4 linked regions of the Alligator mississippiensis genome follow. Each later gene encodes a partner of the first gene's protein in a complex. Links are inferred from orthologs where the notes say so. Each region holds a gene or a part of one and is shown in the gene's direction. Other genes may lie near its edges. The genes, in order: TIMM29, TIMM10, TIMM22 and TIMM10B.

The links.
Region 2: the proteins of TIMM29 (region 1) and TIMM10 are in contact, whole or in part, in a cryo-EM structure (PDB 7CGP), measured with the Homo sapiens proteins. The link is inferred for Alligator mississippiensis from reciprocal best matches to the Homo sapiens genes TIMM29 and TIMM10. Residues at the interface, in NP_612367.1 of Homo sapiens: Asp181, Asp183, Ile184, Asp186, Phe189, Leu192, Leu196, Arg197, Val199, Gln203, Leu204, Ser206, Asn209, Glu210, Leu212, Phe213, Asp214; in NP_036588.1 of Homo sapiens: His30, Arg31, Lys32, Cys33, Pro35, Pro36, Leu43, Ser44, Lys45, Gly46, Glu47, Ser48, Val49, Arg53.
Region 3: TIMM29 (region 1) and TIMM22 share a complex: the UniProt entries of both Homo sapiens proteins name them as parts of the TIM22 complex. The link is inferred for Alligator mississippiensis from reciprocal best matches to the Homo sapiens genes TIMM29 and TIMM22.
Region 4: TIMM29 (region 1) and TIMM10B share a complex: the UniProt entries of both Homo sapiens proteins name them as parts of the TIM22 complex. The link is inferred for Alligator mississippiensis from reciprocal best matches to the Homo sapiens genes TIMM29 and TIMM10B.

What each region holds. Positions count from the first base shown.
Region 1 is NC_081831.1:23,573,449-23,580,245, reverse strand, and holds TIMM29 (mitochondrial import inner membrane translocase subunit Tim29), read left to right. Parts: upstream 1-4,447; 5' UTR 4,448-4,468; coding exon 4,469-4,559; intron 4,560-4,836; coding exon 4,837-5,477; 3' UTR 5,478-5,636; downstream 5,637-6,797. Other genes in the region: protein YIPF2, read right to left, coding at 370-504, 711-893, 1,351-1,517, 1,974-2,090, 2,272-2,359, 2,675-2,755, 3,181-3,323, 4,100-4,130. UniProt on the Homo sapiens protein: Component of the TIM22 complex, a complex that mediates the import and insertion of multi-pass transmembrane proteins into the mitochondrial inner membrane.
Region 2 is NC_081825.1:172,671,075-172,679,713, forward strand, and holds the start of TIMM10 (mitochondrial import inner membrane translocase subunit Tim10), read left to right. Parts: upstream 1-5,259; 5' UTR 5,260-5,338; intron 5,339-5,614; 5' UTR 5,615-5,660; coding exon 5,661-5,731; intron 5,732-6,254; coding exon 6,255-6,456; 3' UTR 6,457-8,639.
Region 3 is NC_081837.1:1,934,385-1,941,563, reverse strand, and holds TIMM22 (mitochondrial import inner membrane translocase subunit Tim22), read left to right. Parts: upstream 1-4,376; 5' UTR 4,377-4,391; coding exon 4,392-4,590; intron 4,591-4,697; coding exon 4,698-4,894; intron 4,895-4,970; coding exon 4,971-5,043; intron 5,044-5,409; coding exon 5,410-5,486; 3' UTR 5,487-6,036; downstream 6,037-7,179. UniProt on the Homo sapiens protein: Essential core component of the TIM22 complex, a complex that mediates the import and insertion of multi-pass transmembrane proteins into the mitochondrial inner membrane. In the TIM22 complex, it constitutes the voltage-activated and signal-gated channel.
Region 4 is NC_081824.1:483,428,094-483,435,216, forward strand, and holds TIMM10B (mitochondrial import inner membrane translocase subunit Tim10 B), read left to right. Parts: upstream 1-5,532; 5' UTR 5,533-5,636; coding exon 5,637-5,672; intron 5,673-5,755; coding exon 5,756-5,851; intron 5,852-5,932; coding exon 5,933-6,112; 3' UTR 6,113-6,131; downstream 6,132-7,123. Other genes in the region: FH2 domain-containing protein 1, read right to left, coding at 189-274, 354-456, 541-602, 691-978; ARFIP2 (arfaptin-2), read right to left, coding at 2,576-2,731, 3,594-3,768, 3,946-4,103, 4,226-4,447, 4,527-4,642, 4,939-5,047, 5,132-5,230; DNHD1 (dynein heavy chain domain-containing protein 1), read left to right, coding at 6,238-6,278, 6,373-6,504, 6,629-6,832, 6,917-7,027. UniProt on the Homo sapiens protein: Component of the TIM22 complex, a complex that mediates the import and insertion of multi-pass transmembrane proteins into the mitochondrial inner membrane.

The sequences.
Region 1 (6,797 bases):
ACAGCGGGTGTGATGGAGCATCCATCTGAACTGGTTTGGGGAGCTGGCTGATGGCTTCACACAGCCCTAGAGGCAAAGAGAAGAGGCTGGTCCTCCAAAGTCTGAAACAGCAGTACAAGGGTGAATCCAAGCTGGTACAGGGTCTCCAGGGGGCTGCACCTGTCATGCCCTGGCATAGAGACCACCGTGCCCCAGGGTCCTGCTCCTCAGAGTCTGTCCCATGTTCCCATAACAGGTGCCTCAGCTGCTGCTTGAAACCCTGGCTGTGGTGGGGATAGAGTTAGGGGCATCTTCTCTGGCCAGGAACTAGGGCACAGGGGGAACCAGTTCTGCCCCATGCCCCCCTGGCCAGCTCTCACCTGCCATCCTTCAGAAACGGAGGGGGGTAGTCATGGAGCTGTTGAGGCGGGGGTGAGAGGCTGTAAGTAGCTGTGCCCCCCCTGGAGCCTTAGTGTAGGCAGAGTGGAGAGGGACAGCATATACTGGCTTCTGGAAGAAGTAGAGCTGCAAGAAGAAATTGAGCGAGAAGTACACATAATGGGGGTGGGGGGACCTGGCTTAGGTCCCTGGTTCCAGATCTGAGGCACGTGCCCCCCCCCCCGGATCTCTAGAGAACAAACACCAGACCCAAACTGAGCAACAGCTGCCATGACCCTGCCCAAGCATAGGTCTCCCCTATTCTGCCCCACAAGATGCTGGGCCTTGGGTACCTTGCAGCCTACAGCCAGTAGCGCGTGGAGGGCGAGGACAATGGTCAGTACAGCCAATGTGGCAGCCCGGCTGTCTAAGCGGATGAGTGGCCAGAAGGTGAGAACTAGCACAGACCCGGAGAGTGTCATAGCGGTGGCGATCAGCAGCCACTGCAGCCAGGAGACTGGAATGAGCCACAGCACCTGCTCAAGACCGGGACAGGGAGGGGGTAAGCATGAGCAAGGATCATGGGCCCCACAGTTCTGAGATGCAGGAGTTGTCCAGGCCAGGATCTGGATGGCACATTCTGGCTCTAGGGAGCCCTGGGGATCTAAGCTGCCTTCATACTTGTGAGTCTACACTGCACCAGGGACCCTGCCTGCAGCTCTGGGCACCCACCACCCAGAAGGTAAACACAGATGGGAGCAGGGCGCCACGTCTGGAGGTAAATAGCAGGGCAGGAGCAAACAGGCTGGAAATTCAGTCTCAGCAAAGACAACTAGCTAAAATGGCTGAGCTGGGCCCAGGGGTTAGAGGACATGGTGCCCATGGCAGAGGGGACAGGGGTGAGTTCCCTACCCCCACCAGCTTCCCAAGAGGGCAGCTCCATGACCAGACTCAGCCTATCCCCTTGGAGGATTTGGGGCCCAGGAAACTCACCGAGGCAGGGATGTACACTGAGAGGGAGTAGCCATAGACGCACACAGTCTCCAGGAGGGTGTAGGAGGCCACATTGAGGCAGACACCCTTGCGCCACTGCAGGTAGCCCCACAGGGCCAGCGGCACCAGCCCCGCATAGCAATAGATGGCAACGCCTGCAATGGTCACTGCCAATGGATGGGCTCCTGTCACCCAGTGCTCTGCGGCCGGCCGGCCAGCCAGCCAGCTGGGGGGGCCTTTTGTGTTGTTCCCCCCCCCCCCCAACAACCACCACCCACGGTACATGCTACAGGCACTAGGACAGCAAAGCAGCCAACAGTGAATCAGCTCAAAGCTGAGACTCAAATGCCAAGAGGTGGGGTCCAGGCCTCCTGGGTTCTCTCCCAGCTGTGGGAAGGGACGGGTCTGGTGGGTTAGAGCAGGGGGAACCGAGGACCTTGACACCTGGGTTCCCCCCACAACTGGGAGAGGAAGGAGGTCTTGTGGTTTGGGGCTGGGAGCCAAGACTCCTAGGTTCTTTTCACTTAAAGCTTTGTGCCTGGCAGGGGTCAAGTTTGCCCAGGAGCCTGGTGGGTTCTCATGGGGCCTGGCCCATGCCTGCCTGTCCCATACCTACCCCTCACCTTTGTGGAACTGGGGGCTGTAGCGGAAGGAGGTGTTGCCATGCTTCTCCAGGAAGTTGGACAGGTTGCCACTGATGGCCAGTGTGAACACCAGCGTAGTGCAGATCCAGAAGGGCCCTGGAAGAGGCCAAGGGTAGTGCGACCTTGAGCCCAGGCTGGGGCAGAAGCCAGAGACCAAAGATGCCCTGCTTTGCTCTGGTTGACGGATGGCACCTGAGCCCTGGGGCACAGGAGGCCAAAAGGGCTCAGCCTGCACTGCCCTGGCCTGCCCCACATCATGGACCCCCTCTGGGCTCACCATACAGGTCAGGGTTGTTCCGTAGATAATGCCGCACAAAGTTCTTCCCTGGTAGTGGAAGCAGCGATCCCTTGATCCTGTCCAGCACCTACAGTGAAGAAAGCAGGAGTGGAGTGAGGCAGGCAGCTTTCTGGGCTCACCAGGCAGCAACCAGAGAGCAAAGCTGCATCCTGGTCCTAGGTGGGGGCTTCCCAATATGATTATAATACATAATGTACAGTCCCTAGTGCAATGGGGCTCTGGCCTGCGACTGAGGCTCTCAGGTGCTACCATACTATACCTAATAATGTACAAAGCCTCTGGGAGCTGAGAAACCCATGAATCTATGGGACTCATTCCTGCCAGCATCTCTAACTGCCTGTGTCAGAATGCTGCCTTCCCACAAGGGCGCAGGCTCCATTACCTGGTAGGTGTCGACATCAAAGAAGGCCTGGTAGTACTCGAAGGTCCAGAAACTTGGTGGCTGCTTCTGGCCGCTCAGCAGCTGCGAGGAAGGGAATGTATGTTACCACGCGGCCCCACCAGCCTTACCCACAGAGAACCCCAAGCACCTCCAACTGTGAGCCCAGCTCCCTCCCAGACCAGTGCACCCCACCCCAGCTGCTCCAAGCAACTGGGATTACCCAGCATGCCAGGCAGGAGCCCCATCTCCAGAGAGAGCCACAACTGAGGTAGAAATACTTGATCTACTTGGACCCCGATGGCTTCCACAGCTAGCAGCAGCTGGGAACAGCCCAGGCACAGCTGCCCAGGCTGGATCTGGACCTAGGGCTGGGAAGTGAAGGGCTCTTTATTCCACTAGTGCACACTCCCTGCCCCAGCCAACCTTGGGCCCGACCTGGAGCCAGCACTCCCCTCCAGACTAGTCCTGCCACCCTCCTGCCCATGCACGCTAGCTTTGCCCCCGACCTCTGTCTTATCGCTCTCATCGCCCTCCTCGTTCTCGTCATAGCTGGAGCCCACATCCAGGGCCACATGGCTCTGCCGCTCACTGACACTGGTGGTTGTTGCATCGGGGGTTGCAGCCAGCAGGTCGGCGGCCTCATCAAATTCTGCAGGGGTAAAGCGCCAGCCATCACAGCCCAGGGCTCAGGGGCCACTGCCTAGTCCAGCCCCTCACTCCTGAGCCTGCACCCTCCCAGTGTCATGCCTTGAAGGAGCTGGGGAGTTCATCACCCTCGTTACGATGATACAGAAGGTACTTCTATCTTGGCCAGAAGGACCCAGGTCCCAGTTTTATGCTCTAACTGCCAGACCACACTGTCTCCATTAGGCAGACCTATTTGTTATGCCCAGAGGAGTGTGGGCCTGGCTCACCCGGGAGCTATAAACCTCCCTCCACTAGGCAAACCTATGAAGACCTAACGAGAGTATTTGGGGCAACGAAAGAAAAAACAAGGAAGGGAGCAGGCTCAAGGGCCGCTAGCAAGTGCTCGGGGGGGGGGGGGGAAGGGGGGGGTGCTGAACAGCACACCAGCCAGCGCCGTGCCCCTTCCCAGGAAAACTGCTGGGATACGCGCGTGGATGAGGGACTGGCAGATGCCCCGCAGACGCCAGGCTCCCTCAGCCAGAGCCTCTCGGCCAGAGGCAGGGGGAGGTTTGCCGGGGGGTACCCGCGGTCCCAGGAGGCAGGAAGCCAAGGGCAGCGGGTCCGTCCCTGCTTCGTGCCAACCGCCCAGTAAGTGCCCGAGGGCGGCGCGGGGCCCGGCCGGGCTCTGGGGGCGCCAGAGCCCCAAGGCCTCGCGGGAGGAGGGAAAACACCTGCTGCAGCCGGGTCCGGTCCCCTCGCGGCCCGGCGGGACCTCCCCGAGGGCGGCCGCCTGCTCACCGTGGAAGCGGAGCTGGTCGGAGGCCGCCATAGCATCAGCGCACCCCGGGCTCCTGGGGGAGACGAAGGCTTGTTACGGCCGGGGGGGGGAGTGGGGGAAACTGAGGCGCGAGCTCCTGAGACACCCCGAGGCGGGGCCCTGCTGTGCAAGGGGAGCACGACAGGGAGGAGTGACGTGTCCTGGCAAAGCCGGGCACCCCCCGCTCCAGTGCTGCGTGTCCCTTTCTCCGGCCTGGCCGCGCGCACTCCCGGGGGGGGGGGGGGGGGAAAGGAAAGGGGAACCGCCCCCCCCCCCCCCGAGCTCCGGGATGGTTTCGTCCGGTCCGGCACCACTTCCCCTCCGGCCGGAAACAGTTTCCGGTTGGCGCCATGGCGGTGGTAGCAGACACCACGAGCGGCGCGGGACTCGATCGGGGGGGCAGGCGCGGCTTCTGGGGGCGGCTCGGCGCTAGCCGCCTGGGTAGGTTGGAGGGGGAGGGCTCCTGGGTTCCTGGGGCTAGGGCCTGGCAGCTCGGACGCCTGGGTTCTTCCGGGGGGGAGGCAGCGGCCCGGGTTCCCACGGGAGGAGGGGCTGGCGCAGGGCCTGGCAGCCCGGACTTCTCGGTTCTAATCCCGGCCCCGCGCGTAGCTGCAGGTCCCTCCCAGAGCGTCGGCTTCCCCAGCGCGGGCACCCGCCGCCCCTTGGTGGGCTGGGCCCTTGATAGCCAGCAGCATCTGACCTTGCTGCCCCTGTGCAGGCCAGTGGTGGAAGAGCCTCCTGCACGATTATGTGGAAGCCTGTAAGGAGGTGGTTGTGGGTGCCCGGCAACGGCCCGGGAAAGCCGGGCTTTACCTCTCGGTGCTGGCCGGGGCAGCCGCCTGCAGCCTCCGCATCCCCAGCGACACCTCCTTCGATGCCTCCCTCCTCGAGGCCTCTGGCACCCTGCTCCTCCTCTCCCCCTGGGTCTGCAACACCACCTCCAAGGGCCACGTTCAGCGCCTGATGCAGCTGAGGAACTGGGGGCAGCTGCGCTACCAGAGCCTGGTCTTCTTTTCCCTGGTGTATGAGGCCCCTTTCGACGCAGAGACCGACCTGTACTTGGCTCAGTGCAAGCACCTGCAGCCGCGCTGGACAGAGTTTCCAGGCCGCATCCTGGATGTGGGGTTCTGGGGGCGCTGGTGGGTTTTAAATGCCAAAATGAAGGACTCTGACATCAATGATGAGGAGTTCCAGAACCTTCCAGAGCAGCTCCGCATCATCTCCTTCCAGAACCTCCACTCGGAGACTAATGAGAGACTGTTCGGCGAGAAATACAAGCCTGTTGTCCTGACAGAGGAACAAATCGAGCAGGCAGAGAGGGAGATGCAGCCACTGCCTCAGGGGGTCACAAACCAGTAACCTGAACCAAGCAGCGGTTGCTTGAGCCAGGGTGGATATGGAAGCTCAGATAGGTTTTACTATGGGATTGTTTCTTGTTGGACCCCTCAGCCTTGTTGCATGCTGATTTCCCAGCCTTGGTGGCACTGGCATTCAATAAAGAGGATGCGGAGGCTCTTACGTTTGCTGTGATTTTTGTACTAACCTATGGGATGCGTTATCCATGGGCTTGCCTTGCCTCTTGTGGGTACCATGCCAACCCAGTGCTTAGAGCAGTGATTCTTGATTGGGACCCTGCACCACTCTGGGGCATCTTAAGATCCTTTCAGAGGTGCTACACAATGTTAGTGCTGTTAGACATGCAAACAGGATTGACAAGATAAGCAGAAAGGTTTCAAGTATTAATCCAGAGTGGCAAAATGTTCTGACCTGTTCAGATCTTTCTGTGTTTTCTGCAACAGAAAAACTGCTCCGTGATTTTTGTGTAAGAAAAATCAAGTGGAAGCTAAGAGCTGACCTCTTCCAAGGTTCTATCAAGGTGTGCCTTGAATTGAAGAAGGTTGAGAACCACTGGCTTAGAGGTGTTCCAGGGTAATGTCGCTCCATAGGGCTTCTGTCTCTTCTAGATGAGTTCAGATCCAGTGCTCAGAGGGGAGACTGGTAACAGGGACCCATGTGCTCTTGAAAATGGTACAGGTGGCATGTACAGGCACGCTCCTTTCTGAGCTGCTGCTGCTGCCCCCAGTGCCCAGCCCAGTTTTGGGGGGCAGGGCAGGTGAGTCATAAAGGGAAGCCTTTGCTTTTGGGTGGATAATCCGCTAGGGCCCACGTGACTTTTGCAGCTCTGTGATAGTTGGAATGAGGTGAAACCAAAGCCCCTGGTCACTGGGGAGTATTTGAGGCTCCAGGGCATCTGGGGCAACATCAGCCAAAACGTCTGTTTGGGGTGGAGGTGGCCCAAGCAGCATCACTTCCAAGGGGGCTGGTCTTGTTTGCCTTCTATCCTCTGCATAGAGCCTCAGCTGTATTGTAGCCCCCAACCCAAGTCTGAGCCTTCTGTCAGCTCCTCAGGGAACAGCAGAGGGTGCTAAAGAGCTAAGGAAAACTCCTTGGTACTGCTGCTCTCAGACAAAGGTGCAGAGATTCCCACTGCAGTTCTCCCTGAACCTGGAGGCAGCCCAGGGGCATGGACCTGCTATGACTTGGCGGGCAGTGCACAGTTCACAGGCATTTAGAGAAGCCCCTTATGGAGCTGCTAAGACTGAAAAAGGTGTCTCTTGCTAGCCCAGAGTACAACAGAAGTGGGTCGGGAAAGAAACAGGCACTTACCTCTTTTGGTGA
Region 2 (8,639 bases), on another chromosome or scaffold:
AACCCCTGCCACTGTTAGAAACAGGACACTGGGCTAGGTGAACCATGTGTCTGACCCTATATGGCACTTATGTTCTCATATACTGATCTCCCTTGGGGCAGGCAAGGGAAAAATAATTTATCCTGTTTGTAGGAGACTGATTTCCAACAAAACACTGAGACCATGACAGCAAATGAAAAGCTTCTTCCTTCATATGGCATCAGATATCAACTTGCAAATCTATGAGCCACTGTCTGGCATTATCACTCAATATATGGATTCTATCCACCCCTTCTGGGCATTTGTAGAGACTGCAGCGTCAATTAAATGCTGTGATGTTTATTGGACTCGCATTCACACAGGGGGCTGTCCAAAATGTTCATCTTGTGAAGTGTTGTTCTGAAGCATATATATCCAGATCTCAGTCTGTTCAGCTTGACCCATGCTCCTCTGCCAAGGTTGTGCCCAATGGGGGACTTATTTAGTGTTGGTATAAAACACTGTAGAAATAGGTCTGACCTTTTCTAATGGTTGGTCCACTGTTGCTGCCCATAAGTTTAGTTCAGCACCCCCAGAACAGCTGTACAGCCTGGACAGCTCCAGCATATGCTCATGCGGAGATGGCCAAGGACCAGGGCAAGGAGATGCACCTTCTAGGTAAGGAGGAGGTGGAGCACTGAAGTAACCACTCACATGCCCATTTGAGAATCCCATCTTGCAGTGATATTTTGCACAGGGAGCAGGGAGCAGAGAGGTGTGAGATAGGACTCCACCAGTCTGCCACAACCCACTAGGACTGCAATGTGCAGAGCAGGGGTTTGCAAAGCTGGAAAAAAATAGTATTTGATGTCAACAGCTCATTAATCTGTGCTTTGTCTACATTAGGGGAGACTCCCAAAAAAGCCCCATGCAAAAATGGCTCCTTGCCACAGTCTTGCCAGAAGGATGGGGGACAGTAGAAGACAAACTCCCTGCCTTGTGGCAACCACAGGAACAGGCTAAAGGAGGTGCTCTCAGGGAGAGGTTCACACCAGCGACTGGCTAAGCCAGGGCCTGATTCCAGGGATACGTAACCATGGAGAGAACAGTGAAGGAGAACCCATATCCCCCACAATCACGCTACCCCAGGCCAGCATCTCAATGTGAAGAGACAAAGCACAGTGATCAACAAGGCTTTGTGGAAACCTTGGCCCTGGGCAATCCAGGAGGAGCAGTGTGAAAGCCACACAGAGAAGATTTTGGGGAAGGAAATGAAGAACTCCATGCTTCTCAGGGTGTATAAATGCCTTAGTGTTCTTAGTAACTTGGTGGGGTGCATACAGCGGGTCAGCAATGGAAAGGGAGGCTCTGCTGCATACTTTGTCTTACAGGGCAAATATATACTCATCTGCTATAACTTGGTAAGTCTCATTGCTGGCCCAGGTATAGAGAGGAAGGACTGGCCATCAATAACCAATTGCTCTGTTTGGGTGACTTTCTCTTATGAAGATGAACACGCCCCAGAGAACAGCTGGCTAGAGGTGGCACCTTTGTTTGAAATATAGGGTCCTGGATTTGCTGTCCTAACACTGAAAAGAGAAGCAGACTGGCATGATACTAGCAGGTTTCCTGCACTTAACTTACTTGATGCCACTTACAGTCCAATCTATTTTTGGCTATGTAGATGGGCAGGAAAAATCAGTTGACAGCTGTACTGTAGTTTGTGTGTGACCAGGTATGTCATGATCATGTGCAGCATGACAAAATGTGCAATGATGACAGTTTTGGCTCTAGGTTCTGGGAGTGCACCCACATGTTCACCCAGAGAAGTTCTAATCTCCACAAGGTAGTCAACAACCTCAATGTTGTCACTTAAAACACCTGCTTCTTCTGGGTGTTGAGGGAGTGTCTTCTGGCCCCCCACTGTTTGATGTGGCTGGCCAGCTGGTGTCCACACATGATGTAGGGTATAAATATGTGAACAAGAAGCAAATCCTGTAACATTGTGGAGTTTGGCTATTCCCTCGTGGCCATACCTGAAGCAATGAAAGAGAAGCAGAAAGCCTGGCCTGAGAGTCTGAGATCATCATCCAGAGTTTGCCCAAAGAAGCATGAGCATTTCACCAGTGCTTACCTGAATGATGTGCAAATGGAGAATGTGGAATAAAAAAAATCTTTATGAGCTGCCCCAGCCCCCTCAGGGTACCTCCCCTTCACACAGGCCCCACATTCTCCAAAGAGGCACTTTCTTGGGACTTTTCTCTCCAGCTACAGGCCCTGTGGTATCCCACTGTGTCCAGTTTCTGCCTCTTGAAATACCTCCCAAACACCCTGGGCATAATTTTATCTTTAAAGGGTTTGTAATGAAGGGTGGTGAGTGTGAGAGGCCAATGCCTGAAGCATGGGGCTCTTGTACAGGAATGACCCAGGCTGTTTTGTATTGGCAGTGCTCTTCAATGGGTGCCAGGAGTTTGAAGACTGTTACTGTACTCTTTCATAAAACAGGTGATTTTGATGACCCAAGCAACCTGATGCCCGTCAGCCTTTCCTCAACCATCTGAAAATATCAGTTTCACTGCAGCCCAGATCACAGACTGGGCTATGAAGGAGGGAGGGCACCAATTTGAACCAAAAACTAGGGCTGCTATGAACACAACTCTTCAACCTCGCACTGGCTGAAGAGCAACATCAGCACAAGACAGCCTGTGTTTTTCCTTTGCAAGAGCCTCACACTCGGGGTACTGACTCTCTTATTCCCCTGCACAGAAAATGTACTACCTGTGTTAACCAGGCAGATAGAGAAGTGGTTTTGAAAACAGTTCCTACCTTCCTTAAACTGAAATTGAATCACATACAGTTTAACTGTTGTGACTGTGATGGTTTGCTGAGTTCATGTATTCACTTGGATTGGGAAGCTGCACTATTTTAAGGCACAAGTAACCCTGTGGTGCCCTGGCTGGTGCATTAGCTTCCTAGCAATTACCAGGCATTCAAAAGTTGTGGATTCAAGTCCCATCAGAGCTAATCAATTTGAAATACTACTACCATACCCAGAAAGGGACTATCCACATTCACACAAGACAGGCCCAGGGAGCTGTTAAATGGCGTGCCACAGACCTCCCCTCCTCTTCCCTCCACCAGGGGCAGACTCTCTGTGTAGCTGCCTGCATAAATCAGGGACAGGGGCAGCTGGGGCCCCCTCCAGCAGGGCTGGTGGGAACAGGGGGATGTGTGTCAGGAGGAGCACTGGCAGAGCTGGGGAGGCTGTGGCTTGTGGGGGATGGGAGACTGAGTCAGGAGTGCGGGGCACTGTCTGCACTAGGGGGATGTGGGGAGTGTGGGGCACCAGCAGGGATGGGGGGGAGCTGTGGGTGAGGAGGAAGGGGCACCAGCGTGGCCCAGAGGTCAGGGTGCTGTTGGAAGTGAAGGGCATTGGCAGGGCCAGGGGTCTGCAGGTCAGGAGTGAGGGGCAGCAGCAGGGACAGGGGGCTAAGGGTTGGGAGTGAGGGGTACCAGCATAGCCGAGGAATGGGGGACTGTGGGTTGGGAGCAAGAGGCACTGGTAGGGCAGGGGGAGGGTGGTGCTGTGGCTTATAGTTTTGTTTTACATTTAATTTCTGAGGCAATAACACTTGCTAGTTACTGTAACAGTTAGAAAGTGTCCCCCCCTCTCCACAATCATATACAGTTGTTCTCTTTTTTGGAACTGGAAATATTGTAACCCTACCTTTCCTTTCTAAACAGCCTGGGCATTTCATTATGCCACAGAACAACAGTGTTGAACCCTGTTTGTTCTCACTGGGAGCTCCTTGGGAGATGGTCTGGCACCCACCATGTACCTATAAAGACCTCGAGATGGGCGAGGCACACAGATCCTGTGCAGTGCCAACAATGAGAATACGAGGAGCATAATGAACGTTCTGGCCCATTTTGCAGGAAATCAGACCTAATTCCTATCCGTGTCCCTTTTGCCTTCAAAACTGATGGATACTTCAATTTTCTAGCCATTTTTTTCAGATGTGGCTGTCACTCTCCTCAACAGGGACTATTGGCATGAAGGGGGCAGGCCTGCAGGCTTTTAGCTGAAGGTAAAGTCCAGCCACCATCTGTCCAGTGAAGGAAAAGACCCACTTCCCTCCACATATCATAAACACTATAAAGCCTTTTCCTTAACCTTTCTCCAGTCACTCCTCCTTGAGCAGAGTCAAAGCTTGAGGAAGCCTGGAAACCTTTTGGGGACTGCTATGAGTGAGCACAGCAGGCTGCTAGGCAGCAACCTTGACCATAGAAAGCTTGGGCATTAGTCCTAAAGAGGACAACTGTATATGATTGTGGAGAGGGGAGGCACTTTGTAACTGTTACAGTAAATAACAAGTGTTATTGCCTCAGAAATTAAATGTAAAACAAAACTAAAAGCCACAGCACCTTCCCCCCCACCCTGCCAGTGCCCCTTGCTCCCAACCCACAGCCATGCTAAGCTAAACTGACTTCTTTGCTGTATTTGCAGACAGGCTGGCCGTGCTGCCGGCCGTAGCATAAGGGAAGTCTCTCGTTAGCTCCCTGACGTCCAAGTCATCGCTGTGCTTCTTCCATGGCCTGTGCGAGGGATCCACGACCCTTGTGATCCCGGGTCCCCCGGTCGTGCCAACTCCTGCCCCCAAAGTCACACAACTAGCTTGTCTGACTTAAACTCCAACCCCGACTCATCACCTAGCATCACGCTGAACCACATCGGAGCACCTGCCTCCCCTGCCAACACCCCCGTGCAGCTGGGGGCCGCCCTTGGACTGCAGCGGCCGCCACGTCTTGCACGAGGAGCAAGAGCGGCTCAGGGCAGGAAAGCGCCCCCTCGCCCCTGGGGACCCGCACGAGGAGAGATGCTGCACGTGGCGCCTCCAGGCTGCTCCGAGCAGGGGCCCTGCAGGAAATGCAGGCTCCCTCCCCGGTTGCTTTTGGGGCTGGGGAGCGCAGGGCGGGGACGGCTGTGTGCTCTCGCAGAGGACAATGCTTCCAGCTGTTCAGTGAAGCGGTCACATCCACGCCGAGGCCCAGACGGCTTGCAGCACGCACATCCCGCCAGCTCTCCCCGGCCCCCAGAGGCACGTCAACCCCAGCCCCCGCGTCCCCATGGCAACATGCCCCGCCCCACTCCCGGCTAGCCCTCCACGCCCCTGGAGTCCCACCCCCTGCCCGTGCCCGCTCCCGCTCCTGCTCCCTCCCAACCCCGCCCCCGCGCGTCTCTGTGGTTGGCAGGCCGGGCCTCCCGATCCCGCCCAATCGCTGCGCTGCCGGAAATGACGTTCTCCCCGCTCTTTGAGCCGGGGAGGGGGGTGCCTCCTTCCCGGAAGTGCTGGTGGCCCCACGTGGTTCCGGCTGGCAGGTGGGGTGGAGGTGGCCTCCTGCCCTCGCCCGGCCCCTGCGCACGGGCATGGGGCGGCCGAGGCGGGAGGGGAGCACGGTGCCAAGGCTGCTCCCCTGCTGGGGTCTGACCGCGCTCCGTGCAGAGGGTGCAGGGGCTGCCCCGTAGGGAGGCGCCGCCAGCTCCTCGGGGTCCCCGCGGCCTCGGGTGCGCTGGGGTCGTCGTTGACGCCGCCTCGGGTGTAGCTGGGCGCTGCCCGGGGCTGGGGCAGCACTGACAGTTTTTGTGCCTTTCCAGGAGATCCCGGCCCTGCCTCAGCTGCACGGGACGCGGAGCTTAGGCGATGGATCCTGTGCAGGCGCAGCGGCTGGCAGCGGAGCTGGAGGTGGAGATGATGGCTGACATGTACAACAGGTCATGACCCCGTCCAAAGACCCCTGCAGGGCTCTGGGCTTTACTCCGTGCTCCTAAGCGCCTGGGGGGAGGAAGAGAGAGGGAAATATCTGCCTGTGGGCTGTTGCAGGCCACAGGACTCCTACTTTCAAGTGCAGGAATATCTCATGTGTCCATTTCCTTGCTGGGGGGCCCCTGCAGGATGCATCACCAAAGCTGTGTGTATGTGAGCAGGTTCCTGGAGTTGAAATGTCAGAGAGCCTGTGAATGGATGGAAATACACTGGTCGAGCTATGTGGGGTGTATGGATCTGTGATGGCAAGGGGATGGGGCTGCGGAGTGTGAGCAAGGCTGTGTGCATATGGAAAGGAAAGCCTAGGATGCAGTAGCAGGGGAGGTGCAGTGGCCATTTAAGGTATCCACAGAGCGGGGCGGGGGAAGAACTAATGTCTGGAATGGTTGCTGTGCTGTGTGTGAAGGAGACTGGCCTGGTGAGCAGGGGCGTGTAGAGATTCTCATAATGTCTCCCTCCTTTGTACCCCAGGATGACCAATGCCTGCCACCGGAAGTGTGTCCCCCCCCACTACAAGGAGGCTGAGCTCTCCAAAGGGGAGTCTGTATGCCTGGACCGCTGTGTCTCCAAGTACCTGGACATTCATGAACGCATGGGCAAGAAATTGACAGAGCTCTCCATGCAAGATGAGGAGCTGATGAAGCGGATTCAGCAGGGGGCTGGGGCGGTTTAAGAATCCCTCTTCAGCTTTGGACAGCAAGTGTGATAGGCCCTGAGTGCACTGGACTGCCGCCTAGATTCAGCCCTGGGTCCCCTGTCAATAAAGCCTTGATAGTTTTGTATGAGCAGCACTGGGCCTCTGCCTTCCAACAAGGGGATCCTGTGCTGAGATTCGCTGTTTAGCTGTTTCCTGCTGAGTGGATGAGGTCCTATCTCTGCCCTTCCCAGATGATGCTCCTAGTGAGCAGCATTGTCCCAAATAGGGATGAGGTCCCAATCCTATCCTAGTGGTGTCTCTTTATTGACTAATGGAGCAAAGGCTTGATCCAGGGTAGTTTGTGATGAAGTGTCCTCTTGCAGGAGGTCGGGCTAGAACCCTCGTCCCAGCTCTTTTACCCCTTTGATAGCATGATGGATTGGCTGCAGGGGGCACTGCCTCCAGGTGGATGTATATTCCCTATGGTATTGTGCTCATCAAATCTCCATGGTACTCTCACAGAGCAGCATGCCCCTGTCAGATTTGAGTAATCCCCTCCTGGCTGCAGTTTGCCTTTCACTTTCAGCTCCAAACTCTGTGACAGAGCCTGTTCCTATTTTCTGTTGGGCAACCCTTGTCCTTTTCCCCCCTCCCCCCAGAGATGGCTGCATTTTTGTTCGGGGAGGCAAACTGCTGGCTGTAATCTGAAGAATTTCCTTGCAATCCTTGATGGCTGTAGCTGCTATGTGTGGCCAGCAGGGGGCATGCTGCTGCTGGGGAAAGCACATGGGAGTTTCACTTGGCTTTCAGTTCATGGCTTTAGTAAATATTTTTACAAGCCTGGCTCCTAATTGGTGTTTTCCTCCTTTCTCTCATCCCAGTTTCTGATTTGTGGTTAATTACACGGCAGCTCCATTTAGCCTGAGGGTGAAGCTTCTAATCCCAGTGACCTCCAGGGAGTGGCTAGGAGTTATTTTTACTGCATGCAATTCAGTCCTCTTGGGGCTCAGTCTGGTTTTCCTGGAAGATGCTGCATGATGATTTCCTCAGAATTCGCTGGCAGGAAAAACTATGTGTACAGCAGCTTTTGTTTGCACTGGGGACTATGCAGGCACCTGGGAGGGGGATTTTGAGGTTGGCTTGGGGGTACGGACAGCTATAGCAAGGCTGTAGCAGCAAGTGAGGGTAGGGGCTGTGTTGGAGGAGACTGAGAGGGGGTTGCATGAGGCTAGGGATAGCAAACAGCAGGGGGAAGGCCTTACTGGCCTGGCTTTGTCTAGCTCTAGCCTTTGATTGTTAGGGCGAGAGAGCCGAGAGGGAGCACAGCAGGGGTGGAATGGAAATAGGGATAGAAGTGTTTGGAGGTTAGAGAGACGGACATTGAAGACTATATGGACTAAGCTCCTTGGGGGTGGGGAGGAGCAGGACCCTCAAAGCCTAGTGGGAATTAATCCTCTAGGGGATAGGAGTTGATGTAAGGAGCATGATTTTTTGGCAGCTCCCCAAAAGGGCAGCCAAGTTTAGTGGGGAGGATGGGTCTGTGTGTGCCCCTTGGGTGAGGCTAAAGATTCCTAATTCCCAGTTCTTTAGTCTCAGTCTCTAGTTCCTTATTCCTGGTTCATGGCTGGTTTTTCAAAGCTAACTTTAAATAATTTAAAGTTGTAAAATTATACCACGTATCAAGTACATAGCCTTGAATAAGGAGATGAGATTAGGCTGGGATTATGAAGCAAAATCATTTTCAGGTCTTCCCAAACGACACATTTTCAGCTGTTTCTTCTGAATAAGTCTGAGCAGGGCACTGGCTGAACTGAAGTTTGGTTTTCACTGCTAGTCTGCCAACTGACAGCCCCTTGGGTATGTGTGTGGTGTACATTTCCCCAAATGAGCTTAATTTGGGTTGGGATTATGGGGCAAGATCCACTTTGGGTCACCACAAACCATACATCTCCATGCCCGGGGGGACTGTCCTGAAGAAATTTGGGTAGCTCCTCCTGACTTAAAGCTTGGTTTTTGCGTGCCAGCCTGCCAACTAATGGTTCCCTGGGCCATGTATTTACATGGTACTAAATAAGGAGGTGATTTTGGGCTGGGATTATGGATGAAAAGCCTTTTTGGGTCACTCCAAACCATATGTCTCTGCCACTGGAATATTCTCCTGAGGAAGCCTGGATAGGCCCTTGCTCAACCCAAAGCTTGGTTTTTGTGTGCTTCTCTCT
Region 3 (7,179 bases), on another chromosome or scaffold:
GTGGCTGTAGCTGGGGTGGCAGAACCACCCTATCTAAGAGACAGTCTCCCTTTTAAAAGAGGATGTATGAAGTACCTGTGTGCTGGGAAACTAGTGTGTGTTAGAGAGAGAAAACCCCAAGCCCTGCTCCTTCACTTCATCAACCCCTCACCCAGACCTAGCCCGAGCCTTGGCTTGCACTTGGTAAAAAGTGCACATGTGGCTCAGAAACTTGAGCAGCTCTACTAAATTAAAGCATATTGCACCGTGCAATTTGCTGTCTCTTGGGCTCTCCAGCCCCTTGTAAACAGTAATTAAACTGACAATGTAAGGGAGAGCTAGGGAAGTACCATCGCCCCTAGTTTAAAGATGAGTAAAGAGAGGAAGGAGAGGAGAGTCACACTGCCAAGGTCAGCGAGCAAGTCAGAACAGGGAACAAAACTTAGGAGTCCCAACTCCTAATTTCCACTGCTGTCCATCTACTGTGAGTAGAAAGAACGGTTTGGAAAAGGTTCTGAGTTACTACAAGAGGTGGGACAGGGGCTCCGATGGGAAGACAAACTGCAAATCTGGCTTCATGTGCCAAGGACTCTGCAGAGATGCTTTGCAAACCGCCGTACAACCTGCCACCACTGCTTTCTCTTTGCACGGGGCACTCTCTCTTCCAGACGAGGTGCAAGCCCACACTAGCGCTGCAGGGAATGGAGACCAGCCGTGGCCTCTGCAGACATCCAGACCTACACATGCAAGGTAAGCAATGCTGGCGAGATGGACGGTTCCTCAGCAAACAGCCTAGTAGCATCCGCCACTGCAAGCTGCCGGGTGCTGTGCATCCTGCCCCAGCTCCCGGACCCACATTATCAGGTCAGAGTCTCAGCATTCACATGAAGCTGGAAAACACGACCCCTCAAAACTCAACCAGCAGAAGGCAGATAAAAAGGGCTACTTCTAAAAGCTGATGCTTGTTGAGGCAATTGCGCCACTCAAGAGGTCTACCATGGTCTTGCGTATTTGTGGCGTGCAATACCACGCAGAGGTATGTGAGCAGGGGGCACACTTTGGCTCAGCCAGGTTTGCACCTCTTGAGAAAGAGGCAGTGGCGGCTTAACGAGTCACAGGTAGCTACGAAAACAGCCCCATATGCAGAAGTGCTTGTAGCTCAACCGTCCACAGTCCCAGAAGATTATAAAGCTGGCAGCACTGCTGCTCAGAACATTTCTGGTGTCTGTCTCCAGGGGAGCACAAGAGTGGGAGTGAGAGTGAAAAGAATGAGAGAACCAGATTCTTTCCGTCTCCATCTGCAACCACTTCCCTCCCAGTTAGATCACTTCAGCAACAATGCTGGGATTCGGATGACTGCTCACTGACCAAAGATGAGTCCTGTGAAGACCTTCACTGCAGCAATACCCAAAACAACCCCCCGAGACTATGCAGAAGAGGGAGTCAGCTTCCAGTTGAGGAGCAAAGTATGCATCTGAACCAGGCTTCCCAGCAGCAGTATTATTTCTGCATTTTATATCCCCCCGGCACTGCCCTATGTTTCTATATTCTGCAGTGAAAGGTTGAATGTCATTGCTAAATCTGCCATGAGCGACTGGTGCCTCCTGAATCTGGGGGGGCACCTGCAGAAGCCACCGACCCTGTCAAGGGGGGCATCAGCCCTACCGACAGCATCAGTGTCGGCTGTCAGGAGGGGCACCGTCCCTGTCAAGGGGGGCACGTGCACCCCCGTGTCCCCCCTACCAGTCGCCTATGAATGTGCCAATCCAAGCCTGTTCTCACCTAAGAGCTCCTGTGGTTTGCCCTCTAATGGACCGGAGCAGAGAGCTCACGAAGACCTGTAACAATCAGCACGTGCCCGCTTGGGAATATAAAGTAAGGACTGACCTTTATGGGCTATCACAAGCATTAGCAGGAAACGAGACAAAGTGCATTTGGGACTACTCAAATCAGGAGCATACAGCACAAAAAGACAACAGAGGCTGGGACGAGATAGCAAGCAAGAAGGGTCTTTGCTTCTAGAGAAGTTTGGAGCGGGCAACTCGACAAGTGCAGGGTTACATTTATTCCAAGTTTGCAAGAGCTTTCAGTGCTCTGGTGGCCTCAACCCTGCAAGCGATACATGGGTGTCTGAGTTTGCTCACAGAACAGTCCATTGAAGTTGATGGGATGACTCGCGTATTTAAGCATGTGCTGAAATGCTTGGAGGGGCAGGCCCTTGGTCTGCATACAGGAAACAGATCTGCAGGCAAAGGATGAGGAGAAAGACATCCTGACGTTCATACTGAAAATAAATCAGTACGGTGGGGAAAACAGCAGAAAACTATCAGCGCATACTCTCCTGGGGGTGGGGGAGCATGTCTGATATTATCACAGATTTAGCCAACAATGTGTTCGGGGTATTAAAAATCGATCCTGAAACGCCCACCTCTGCTACCTGAACGAGAAGAGACGCTCAGTCGCACGCACCATCGAGGAGCCCCAAGTCCTTCACCGGGCATTAACAACGCAACCCAGCACACACAAACACATGTCAGTTCAGCATATTCCCCAACAGTGGCGGGGAAAACCTCCAAAACACTACTCCAGCTGCACAGCCGAGCTCTCGGTGCCCAAATCCCAACCCCAGCACATCGCAGGAAATAGCTGGGCTTTGCAATGTGGCTCGAAGGCCAGCCAACGCGCACTGTTTAGGATCAAAGGGAAGAGCGAACTTCAGCGCTCCCTATGGACAGCATGCTGCTAGCGGGTCCTTCTCGTTAACGTAACGAGGCTGCTGTGCTAGGACTTCACATCTCTCTGCAGCCTAGCAGCTGCTGAAGCGCTTTGGTGACGGAGGGAAAAGCCCGGAGCCTCCAGCAGAGGGCAGGTCAACTCCACCAGGACCCTCGCCGGGCTTCACGTGTGAACGTTTGAAGGCACCAGCCACCAGACCCATTTACCACGTCAAACCTGGCGTCACCGGCTTCTCCAGCTCGACACGCGTGTTACGAAGCACCCCGACGGTCACGCCAAAGGGTCAATGACTCCGAAGGACCTAGTGCCCTCGGGCAGCCAGGACCCCCGGGCTACGTGGCACCAGGCCGACCCCGTCGCTGTCCGCAGACGAAGCGTTTCAGCAATGTTGGGAGGTGCTGGGTAAAACTGACGCGCTGCATCAAAGCATCGTGTCAGTATCTTCGCAGTCGCTCCCCATCTTCTCCTCCAGGCCAAGCCCCCGAACCAAGACTTTTCTTATTCCAGTAGAAATCGATGCAGGGCAAAGGGTCAATATACCGGCAGCAGAAGCAGGGGTGCAGCGGGGCTCAACCCCCTGCTTCCCCAGCAGTGTCCGAGCACCGGAGAACCAGAAAGCCGACGCGACCCAGCCTGGCTGCCCCCGAGCGGGGACGCGCAGCCCGGGCCCCCAAGGGCACCGCTAGCCGGGGGGTCTCCACGCTGGCAGGGACCGCGGGGCCGTGTAGTCTGACCGCCCGACATCACCTACGCTCAGCGCAAGATGAGCCGCAGCCCCAAGCCTGCCGCAGGCCCGCCGCCCACGGCCCCGGGCAGACAGCCAGCGCCGGGCGCCTCTCGGCCCAGCGCCCCTCCGCGTGCGCCCGGGGCGGGGGCAGCCATGGGGGCCCGGCTCCCACCCCAGCGCCCCCACCCCGCGCACTGCTGGTCTCCCCGCCCGCTGCAGCGCGCTGGCGCCATGGCTGCGCCTGGTAGGGGGGCACGCCGGGGCCTGCCATGCTGACCTCTGCACCAGCCCCCGGGCACCCCTCAGCACCTGTGCTCTACCATGCACCCCTCACACCCCTCAGGCACCCCCCAGCCCCATGCACCCCACAGGCACCTCACAACCCCATGCACCCCTCACACCTCCCATGCCACCCTCATGCACCCCACAGCCCCATGCACCCCACAGGCACCTCACAACCCCATGCACCCCTCACACCTCCCATGCCACCCTCATGCACCTCACAGCCCCATGCACCCCTCAGGCACCTCACAACCCCATGCACCCCTCACACCTCCCATGCCACCCTCATGCACCCTGCAGCCCCATGCACCTTTCAGCACCTGTGCACCCCTCATGCACCCCTCAGGCACCTCATAACCCCATGCACCCCCCAGGCACCCCTCATGCCACCCTCATGCACCCCACCCCACCCCGCTCACCTGCCGCCTGGGCTCTCGGACGCTCCCCGGCGACAAGGACCCGACCCCCCGCACCGCCGCTCCCGGCCGCCAGGGGCCGCTAGGGGCCGGCGCCGCGGGGCTCCATGGCAGATGTAGTCCGCCCCCCCTCAGCGCGCCCGGACTACACTTCCCAGGAGCCCCCACGCGGGCGGGGCCGCGGGGCAGGCCGGGAGGCGGCCCGCGCCGGCCAATGGGGGGCGGTGCCGGGTGCGGGCGCACGGCCCATCATGGCGGCGGCGGCGGGCGGCGCGTCGCGGCCCGAGGGGCCCGAGGCGGAGCCGCTGCAGTACAGCGCCGTGCTGCAGTACCTGGTGGGCGAGCGCCGCGCCCCCCGCGCCCTGCCCGCCGCGCCCCCCGCCGACTCCCGCCTGGCCGAGCGCCTCGCCGAGAGCTGCGGCTTCAAGGGCGCGCTGGCCTGCGTCGGAGGTGCCCCTCCCCCTCCCCCGGCTCCCAGGGGTGGGGGTGCCCCGGGGGGGGGTGCCGCGGGCGGGGCGGGGCGGGGCGGTGTGTCTGACGGTGGCGCGCTGCGGCAGGGCTGGTGCTGGGCGGCGCGTTCGGCGTGTTCACGGCCGGCATCGACACCAACGTGGGCTTCGACCCCAAGGACCCGCTGCGCACGCCCACGGCGCGGGAGGTGCTGCGCGACATGGGGCAGCGCGGCGTCTCCTACGCCAAGAACTTCGCCATCGTGGGCGCCGTCTTCTCCTGCACCGAGTGCCTCGTCGAGTCGGTGAGTGCCGCGCGGGGCGCCAGCGCCGCCGCCCGTAACGCCTCGCCCGTAACGCCGCGCGTCTCTCGCCCCGCAGTACCGCGGCAAGTCCGACTGGAAGAACAGCGTCGCGAGCGGCTGCATCACGGGAGGAGCCATCGGCTTTCGAGGTGGGTCGGGGACGGGCCCGCGTCGGCAGGGAGACACGGGGAAAGGCTGGAAGCGGCCGTCGGACGCGGGCCCCTCGGCTCGCTTGCAGCCCCTGGGGGCCGTCGCGCGTAGAAAAGCTGGTGTTTTCTCCCCTCTTTAAAAGAGACCCGCCCAAAAATCGGTGCGGGAAGCGCTCCCCTAATTATGTTCGTTATCCACATCTGAGACAGGATAACGCTCCTTTCTCCGGACCCGGCCAAACGCGTCTGCGGCCCTTCGGGAGCGGAGAGCCCACGCGTGGCCGCGTCCATTCCTCGCGCGAGTCACGAGTGCGACACGGGCTGCGCGGGGAGTGTCACTGAACGGGGTCTCTTCTTGCTTTGCAGCTGGTTTGAAAGCAGGGGCCCTCGGCTGCGGAGGCTTTGCCGCTTTCTCTGCGGTGATCGATTACTACCTGCGGTAACGGCGGTGCCCAGCTGCAGCGGGGCCACCAGGCTTGTCCGCCAGAGCAAGCCGGATGGTGCCTGCTGCGTGTCCTACGCAGCTGACGATCGGCCGGCCCGTAGCACAACTTCTGGCACAACAGCTGGAGCCTCCTGGAGCAGGGCCCGGCTCAGCGGTCAGTATCCTCCGAATGAATTGGCCGACTGTGTCCGTTTCCAGGAACGGAGCCCGCTTTCCCTCTGCCTTCCAGGCCCTCTGGGGTCTGACTGCTATCAAACGCATCGCCTCCTTGGAAAGATCCCTGCAGGCACTCCCTGGATACGGAGACTCGGCTGACCCATCTCGTGACTTGCTGCAGATGTTTAACGGTACCTGGTTTGCAGCCACGGCTCTGCTGGGAAGCAGCGCGGTATCGTGGGGGAGAACGCGTGGGCTCCAGCTGACGGCCGATGCCTGGCTGCGTAGGTCATCTTGTTTCGGGGACCTGGGAGCTGGGCGTCCCTGGGTTCAGCAAGTCCTCGTGCTGTTTAACGACTGGTCGCACTGAAATAAAAGCTTAATGGAGAGAAGGCCTCGTTCTGCAGTAGGCTGATGTCTGACCTGAATTAACCCTGGCAGCTGCACAGTCAATAACTGTTGGCCGGCAGGGCGGGGAGGCCCCTGTAATGACGCCCTGCCAGGGAACAGCAGCGCGGCGGGTGGTTAGTGGCTCAGCCGGTCCCGTGACAGCACAGCGCTGCTCCCACCCACCAAGGAGATGCAGCACTTCCTGCAAGAGAGACTGTGGGGAGGGGGCTGGAGCCTGCCGGGCAGCCTGCGCCACCAGTCCAGGCTCTGGTACGGCAGGTGCAGCTAGGAAGTGCGGGGGCCCTGACTGCAAGAGGCCCGTCTGCTGCGCCTGAGGGTGCCTCTGCGACACCGAGCTCCGGCACCAAGCACAGCACAGCGATGGCAGTGTGGGCTGCAAACTCAGCCAATTAAGCTGAGGGGACACGTGGGCGGCTGGTTCTTGCCACGCCGTGCCCTGGCGGCAGTGGCATGAGCTGGGTAGGCGCATCCACATGCCCTGCAGCTGCTCTTTTGTGGCTCTGCAGCCCCAGCTAAGCCTGCCTGCAGGAAGGGGCATGGGAAAGGGGCCCTTTGCAGCTCGCTGCGACGGGCGGTGGCAGCAAGCTCTTCATCCGTGTGCAGCAGGTTGTGATGCTGCCCTGCCCAGCCACGGGGCTGGAGCTGCACAGCAACACACCAGTGCACAAACTGCTTCCACAGCTCAAGCCCGCGTGGCCCCAAAGTGCTGCCCTGCAAGAACAAGCGGGACTGGCCCAGGGGCCGCTTTACCTGTCTGCCTTGACGGAGAGGCATCTCGCTCTGGGCCGGGCCCCTGACCGCCCCTGTTCCAGCGACAGCCGTGCGATGGGCTGAGTGCTCCTCTTGGAAGGAGGCTGCTGTATGGTCTCCTGTCTCCATCAGTTCCTCTCCCAGCTGCAGGGTGGAGCGGGGTTGGCAGGTTTGAGAGCCGGGTTTCTGCACTGCCTTCTGGCGCTCCTGGCTCAGCAGGGCTGCAGTGTCCCTGAAACAAGCAGCTGCAGCAGGCAGTCTCTCTTGAGGCTGGACTAGTTCTGGGCCCTTGGACGTGCCCTGCAGCCCAGCCTGGCCCCACAGGGACAGCACCAAGCACAGCAACTGCTGTGACATGGGGGCAGCGGAGCAGG
Region 4 (7,123 bases), on another chromosome or scaffold:
GAGCACAGGTCGGGGGGCTAGGCAGGTCCTGCTTCTGCAGCAGTTTTCACTGGACTCCCGTGCCTGCCCCCCCACCCCCAGTGCCTTGTGCTACCCCTGGCCCTTGCCCCACGCCCCTATGGGAACACCCCCAGCCCACACTCCCCGACCCCAGTGCTACCCCCAGGCCCTGCCCCAGGCCGGCTCACCCGGGCACCTCGGTGAGCAGCAGCATGAAGAGCTCGGGCTCCGAGAGCTGTCCACGGCTGCCGCAGAAGGCCGCCAGCTTCCGGGCCTGTGGGCACAGCGGGGGTTAGCCCGGCGGGGAACTGGGGACCGGACCCCCTCCCCTCGTGCCCCTGCGGCCCCATCACCTCCTCAGCGTCTGGCAGCATCTTGCGGAGCTCCAGCAACTTTTCGGCGCCATACAGTGCGCCCGCCCCGTCCCGCAGGTCAGCCACGATCTGCCGCAGCGGCCTGGTGTTGTGGGGCACAGGGGTGTGGGGTCAGCCGGGAGCCCCCCTGCCCCGGGACCCCCCCAGCCCGGCCGGACCCACTCGCCTCTTGAGCTGCTTCAGGAATATGCCCAGGTTCAGGATCTTCTTGGCATCCAGCAGCGAGACCTGGGAACGCAGACGGGGCACTGCAGCCACCGCTCGCGGCACCCCGGCCGGCCCGGCTCAACTCGGCCCAGCCCGGCCCCGCGCTCACCTGTCCGGGGGGGCGGCCGAGGGGGGACAGGCCGCGGGGGGCGGCCGGCGGCTCCGCGAACAGCTCCTCCAGGTGCCGCCGGTCCAGCGGGACGGGGATGGGGTCGGGGTCGGCCCCGGCCCCCCACACCGTGCGGCGCCCCCGCACCTGCGCCTCGCCCAGCGCCGCCCAGTGCAGCTGCCGCAGCCGCAGCCGGGCCCGCGACGGGGCGGGCGCGGGGCTGCCGGGGGGCAGCGGCGGCGGGGCGGGCGGGGGTGGCACCGGGGCCCGGGGCGGCGGGGGCGCCATGGGCACGAGCAGCAGCACCCAGCCCTGCGGGGGCACCCCGCGTGCAGCGCGCGGCCGGAGAAGCCCCGCGCGGGGGCGGGGGCGGGAACCGCGCGCACCTGCCGGGGCCGTCCAGCTGCGCGGGCAGCGGGCTCCAGCGGTTAGAGCAGCGGGCGGGCCCCTCCCCGCACCCAGGGGCACGAATGGGCGCAGGGCAGGGGGTGGTTGCGGGAGGGGGGACCCCGGCAGGTGCAGCACCCCAGTCCTACAAGCAGTCGGCACCCCGCGGCCTCCCCTGCAAGCCCGGGGGGTGTGCGGGCCTGGCCCCGAGGCCTGGGAAAGCCTGGATAGGCCTGATCCTGCCCCAGGTTGCACTGCAAGCACCCCGGCGTGGAGCAGAGGTCCCCTCCCCGTCAGGAGACCCCAGCCCCGTCCGGGGAGCGATGCGGCTCCAGGGGTGGCTGTGGTGTCTGCAGCACCAGAGCTGCCCCCATGCTGTTCCCTGTGGCAGGGCAGCCAAGGCTGCCCCCATGCATCTGGATGCAGGTGTTTGGGGCCGCTCCCCAGCCAGCCCCCTCTGTCACCTCGTCCTCCCAGCCCCAGGCACGAGCAGGCGCAGAGCGACGTTGTACCGTACTGTTTATTCTGGAAGTTACAGGGGGCCGGGGGCGGTCAGACCGACATAAGGGGGTCAGGTGGAGGCATTAATTTAGCAACGAAAATGAACCGTTTCTTTCCTAGTGTCACAGGAGAAAGTGCCCGTGTTAGGGGGCTGCGCCTGCCTCAGCTGGAGGTGCCACCGTGCGGAGGTGAGGCAATTTGGGTACAGGGGACCCATCCGAACCCTCCCCCCGGGATGCCGGCCACATGCACGCACAGGCGCATACATGCACACGCTCCAGGCCCAGGCGCAGCCGCTGTTTGGTCCTTGGGGTGGGTCTGCCCCCCCCAAATAGCTTGTCGCCAGCCTGAGGCCTCGTGGGATCAGGCCCAACAACCTCGGTTTGGATCTGCTGGTGGGGGGGAACTCCAGCCCCCATGATTAGTGTTCAGGCCCCTGTCCCCCCCCCACCCCGGGGTCTAGCTTGGCGCAGCTGGGAGCAGGGGAGCAGGAGTGTAGTGTGTGTCCCAGAGGTGGGGGGCAGCGTTTAGGAATGGAGTGCAAGAACTACCCCTCACCCCTCTGGCACCGGAGCCAAAGCCAAGGGCAAAACCCAGGAGGCCAGGACCCCAGCCCCAGCCCAACCTGCGAGGGAACCCAGGTGTCCAGGGCAGTGTCAGCAGCCCTCGCCCCAGCGGGACAGGGCAGGGTTTCTGCACAGGTCGGGCACCGGTGGGGAAGGTCAGCGGGGCTCCATGCCCAGCAGGGAGGGGCAGGGACTGCCGTGGGGCTGGCAGGAGGGGGCGAGGCAGGATCCCACGTCTGGCAGGGGAGCAGTGCTGGCCAGGGCAGCTGCCCCGAGGGGCCCAGGCCCTTGCTCACCCCGGAGCTGGGGCCCAGGCAGGGGCAAGTCAGACCTGGCCACGTCCCCCATGTTCACCACCACGCCCAGCCTGCCTGGCCTGGGGCCAGAGGTCAGAGTTCAGGTCCATGGCGGCCCGGCCGGCAGGCGGGTGCTCACTGCTCCTCCAGCCACGAGGGCTTCTCCGCTCCCGGGGTCTTGAGCTTGATGTTGAACTGCTTGAGGCTCTGCGCCAGCTGCTGCTGGTTGCCAGCGAAGTAGGCGGAGATGGCGTTGTGGAAAAGCAGCAGCTGCTTGTGCATCACCTTGATCTGGGGGCGAGGGGGGCAGGGGTCAGCCCCACAGCCCCCCCACAGCCGCCTAGCGCAGGGTCGAGGGCCTGGCCCCTGATCTGGGCAGATCAGCGCTGCCCGGCCACCTCTGGGCTATTCCTGAGCTGACCGGGAGAAACCCCTGCCTGCCCCCAGTGCAGCGTGGCAAGGCCCTGCAGGGCTGGTCCTGGCAGAAGCATCGACACAGTCCAGTCCCCATCCGTAGCCTGGGCTGCATCAGCACCCATTGCTGCTGAGGAAGGGGAGAAAACCCCTGACCCCAGGAGCAAGAGGTGGAAACAATTCCCACCCAACCCCACGGGGCAGCAGCAAAGCCCGGAGGTTGGGAAACACCCGCTGCCTCCGCTCTACACCCTGGGGCCAGCCAGTAGGACCCGCACCACCCCACACTGCACAGCCCGAGCGCCCAGCTGTGTCCCCCCACGGGTGCGTCTCCTGCCACGATCCGGCCGGGTGCAGCTCTGCCTCCTCCTGCCCCTGCTCTGGGCACAGGGTCCTTGGGAGGTCCAAGGGCGCTCAGGGTGGGGGCTGCTCTGGGGCGTCCCGCTGCCTCTTTTCACCGCACGCTCCAGGCGTCGCTGCAGCTCAATGCCCCCTTCCCAGCGCCTGTGCAGTCTGTGCTGGGACCCCCCCCACCGAAGACCATCCCCACCCTAGGCGCGTCCCACACCTCGCTGATGCCAGGGAGGTCTCTCCTGCCGTCCCACCTACCCTTGCACACGGCATCCAGGCTCCGCCACACCCAACGCCCAGCTATTGCCGTGTCCCGTGGCCACCCCCCAGCGCTGCCCCTAGCCCAGCTCCGGGGGCTGTGAACAGACCCTCCCACCCCCTGCCAGACCTTGTTCTCCTCCAGGAACTTGAGCTTGATGGCCACGTCCGCACGCAGCTTCTCGTACTTGTCCTTGTGGCTCTGGAATTGGCTCTGGGCGACATCCAGGCGGCAGAGCGTGCTGGCGTCCCGCGGGCCCAGGCTCAGCTCCTCCAGGTCCGTGCGGTACGCGTCATACTCCAGTCTGCCGATAGGGGCGAGACCGGGGTCAGAGAGAGCGTCCCCACCTGCCCAAGCCCCAGCACCCTCCATGCCCTAGCATCCCAGCCCTCCTACCCCTGCGCCCCTCACCTGACATCTGCACCCCACACCCCTCCCTTGGCCTCCATCTCTCTCCAAGCCCAAAACCTGGCTCCCACACCTGGCAGTCTCGTACTGCTTGACGGTCATGAGCGTGTCCTCCATGGTCTTGTTGACCAGGGTGTTGATGCTGGAGACAAAGAAGTTGACGGCGCCGAGCAGCGTCTCCCCGTTCTTGCACAGCAGCTTCTGCGTCTCCGCGTTGTACCCGAACTCCTCCTGCGGGCACAGCGCAGGGTCAGGCCGACGCCGCCCAGCCGCCACCATGCACCAGCCATCACCCGTGCTGCGGGAACGGGAGCGGGGCCCGGAGACCGCGGACCCCGGGCTCCACCACGTACCTGGAGCTCGGGAGACTTCTGGCTGAGGTCGGAGAAGGCGTCGCCCAGGGCGTGCTGGGTCTGCACCAGGCTGTAGAAGTGGCTGGTGAGGGCGCGCGCCAGCTGCAGCACGCACTCGTACTTGCGCTTGGTCTCCCGCAGCAGCTCGATCTGCGTCTCCAGCTCCAGGTCCACGGTGCGCGACCCGCGCCCGAACCGCTCCGAGATCAGCTGCTTCGTGCACTGCGGGTGCGGGGGGCGTCAGCACTGCCGCACAGGCGCCCCCCCCCCGCCCCGCGGCCACCCCAGGGGGGGGACCCACCTTGTACGTGTTGATGCCCCACTTCTTAACGATGTCGAACTTCTCCACGGCGATGCCCCTGACGACCTCCTCGCCCGCGGCGGCGGGGCCCGGGTGAGGCGGGTGCAGGCCGGCGCCTGCAAGGCGGCGGGCGGGGGGGTGAGCGGGGGCAGGACCGGGGCGGGGGGGGTGGCGAGGTCCGGGGCGGGGGGCGGAGGGGGCCGGTACCTGCGGACGCGCCGGCCTGGCTGGCGATGGAGTCGCTGGGCGACACGGAGGGTGGCGGGGGCCAGCGAGGCCGTGCGGGACGGCCTGGAAGGGGGGGCCAGGCCGGGGGGGCGAGCGCGGGGTGAAGAGGGGGACGCGAGAGCGTGGCTGACGGGGGTCCCCGGGGCAGCTCGACCCCCACCCCCCGGCGCCCGCGGGCCCCCACCTTTGCCGGCGCCCGTGGGGATGATGCCCTCGGCCGTGCCGCCGTAGCCGCCGGACACGATGCTGGTCTCGTTGAGGTTGGGCCCCGACACCATCACCTGCTGCAGGTCCTGGGGGGGGGGGGGGGGGGTGCGGTGAGCGCCACCGCGGCAGTGCCCCTCCCGGCCCACTCCTCCCCTCCCCTCCCCCCGCACCTGCTCGAGCCCGTCGTCCTCGGCCAGGCCGCCCGCGTCGCCGTTGCCGTGGATCGGGATCTCCATGGTGGCCGCCTTGCCCAGCAGCGCGTCCGTCATCCTGGGGCTGGGGGGGGCGGGGGGGTGCGTCCGGCCGGCCCCAATCCTGGCCCCGCGCCCGCGGCCACGTCCCCGGCCCCGCCCCCACGCCCCGCCGGCCCCGCCCCCTGCGCACCTGTCCCCACCCCCACCCGGGCCCGCTCCCGCTCCCGCTGCCGCTCCGCACCTGCTCCGGCGCCGCCGGGTGCCCCCGGGAGGCCCCGATCCCCGCTCGGCTCCGGCGCCCCCCCCCGCACAGCGGAATAGACGTCAGAGCCCGGGCAGGGGGCGCCGGGAGGCGGACAGAAGTGACGACATACTGAAGCCAGCGCGCGGGCGGAAGGGAGTCCCCCCCTGACGCGGACGAAGGGCGGAAGTAGGGGCGGAGTTGGCGTCAGAGCGAGGGCGGAAGTGGCGGCGCGCGGGCATGGAGCCGTCGGCGGAGCAGCAGCAGCTCCGCAGTGTCAGTGCCGGGGGTGGAGGGGGGACAGGATGGGGCGGGTAAGGGAGGCGGGAGCCGTTGGTCCGACCCTTGCTCCGTTGCAGCTGCGGGATTTCCTGCTGCTCTACAACCGCATGACCGAGCTGTGCTTCGCGCGCTGCGTGGCCGACATGGACTGCCGGCCGCTCACCCACCCCGAGGTGAGTGCGGGCGCACGGCCCCGCCCCCGCCCCGCTGGCCCCGCCCCCTCGCGCTGACCCCGCCCCCTCTCCTGCCCGCAGGACTCGTGCGTGGAGCGCTGCGCGGTCAAGCTGGTGCGCGCCAACCACAGCCTGATGCGCGCCTACGTGCGGCTCATGCCCGCCCTCGTGCAGCGCCGCGCCGCCGACCTCGAGGCCGCCGCCGGGATCGACACCGGGACCGGGACCGACACCAACGTGTTGCAGCGGGCGCCGCAATAAACCGTCCCCCTTCCCCCCACTCCCCCGAGTCGGCTGCGGGCGTGTGGGCGGGGCCTCGACGGGGCGGGGCTCGCGCTGGCCCCGCCCCCTCCCGCGCCGCCGCTAACGGCCCCGCATCCGCCCGCATGGAGCCGCCCGACGGGGCGGGCAGCCCGGGGCCGTCGCGGTGAGCCCCCCACCCCCGCCCCGGAGGGTCCTGGGGGTCCCTGTGTCCAGCTCCTGCGCGGGGCGCCCGCGCTCACAGCCGCGCTGCCCTGCAGGCCCCGGCCGGGCTCCCCCCGCGCCGCGCCGCCCCGCACGGGCGTGCAGACCGCCGAGGCGATGGTGCGGGACAAGCCCCTGGGCAGGACGGAGGTCGCCTACCTCAACGTCGCCGCTGGCCGCCACTACCGGTAACGGGCGGGGCTGGGTCACGGCTCCCGGGGGCTGCACCCCCCCCCCAACGGCTCCCCGGGGTGACGGGCACGACGCCGCCCTCGCCGGGGCGCCCCCTCCTAGCCGTGCTGTCGCCCGCAGGCCGTACAGCCTGGCCGCGGTGCCCAAGGCGAGGGCGGCCCCGCAGCACTACGTCTTCTCGCCCTTCGGCGTGCTGCACGTGCAGCCGGGGCAGGGGGCCGAGGCGCTGGCGCTGGGCGCGTGGCACCGGGAGGCCGTGCTCTGGGGCTTGCTGCGCGGCATCCCCGTCTTCCGCCGCTGCCTGCTGCGCGCCGCCTTTGCCCGGTGAGTGTCGGGGCCGGGGCAGGGCACGGCATGGCGGGGTGCAAGCCGGGCCTTGCCCCATGCTCTCGTCTCTTCATCCGGCAGCTGGCAGCGCGGCACCCGGTGCCTGCGGATGCAGCAGCGCCAGGCGGTCCTGGGCGCCCGCCTGCTCCAGGCCGTGCCCCACTTCGGCGCTGCCCTGCTCCATATCTCCAGGTGCGCGCGCCGGGGCTCCGGATCCGTCTGCAAAGCGCCCTTCTGCCGTGCAGGCCGCGTGGGGCCGGGGTCTGCCCCCCTGCCCGGGGCAGCTGG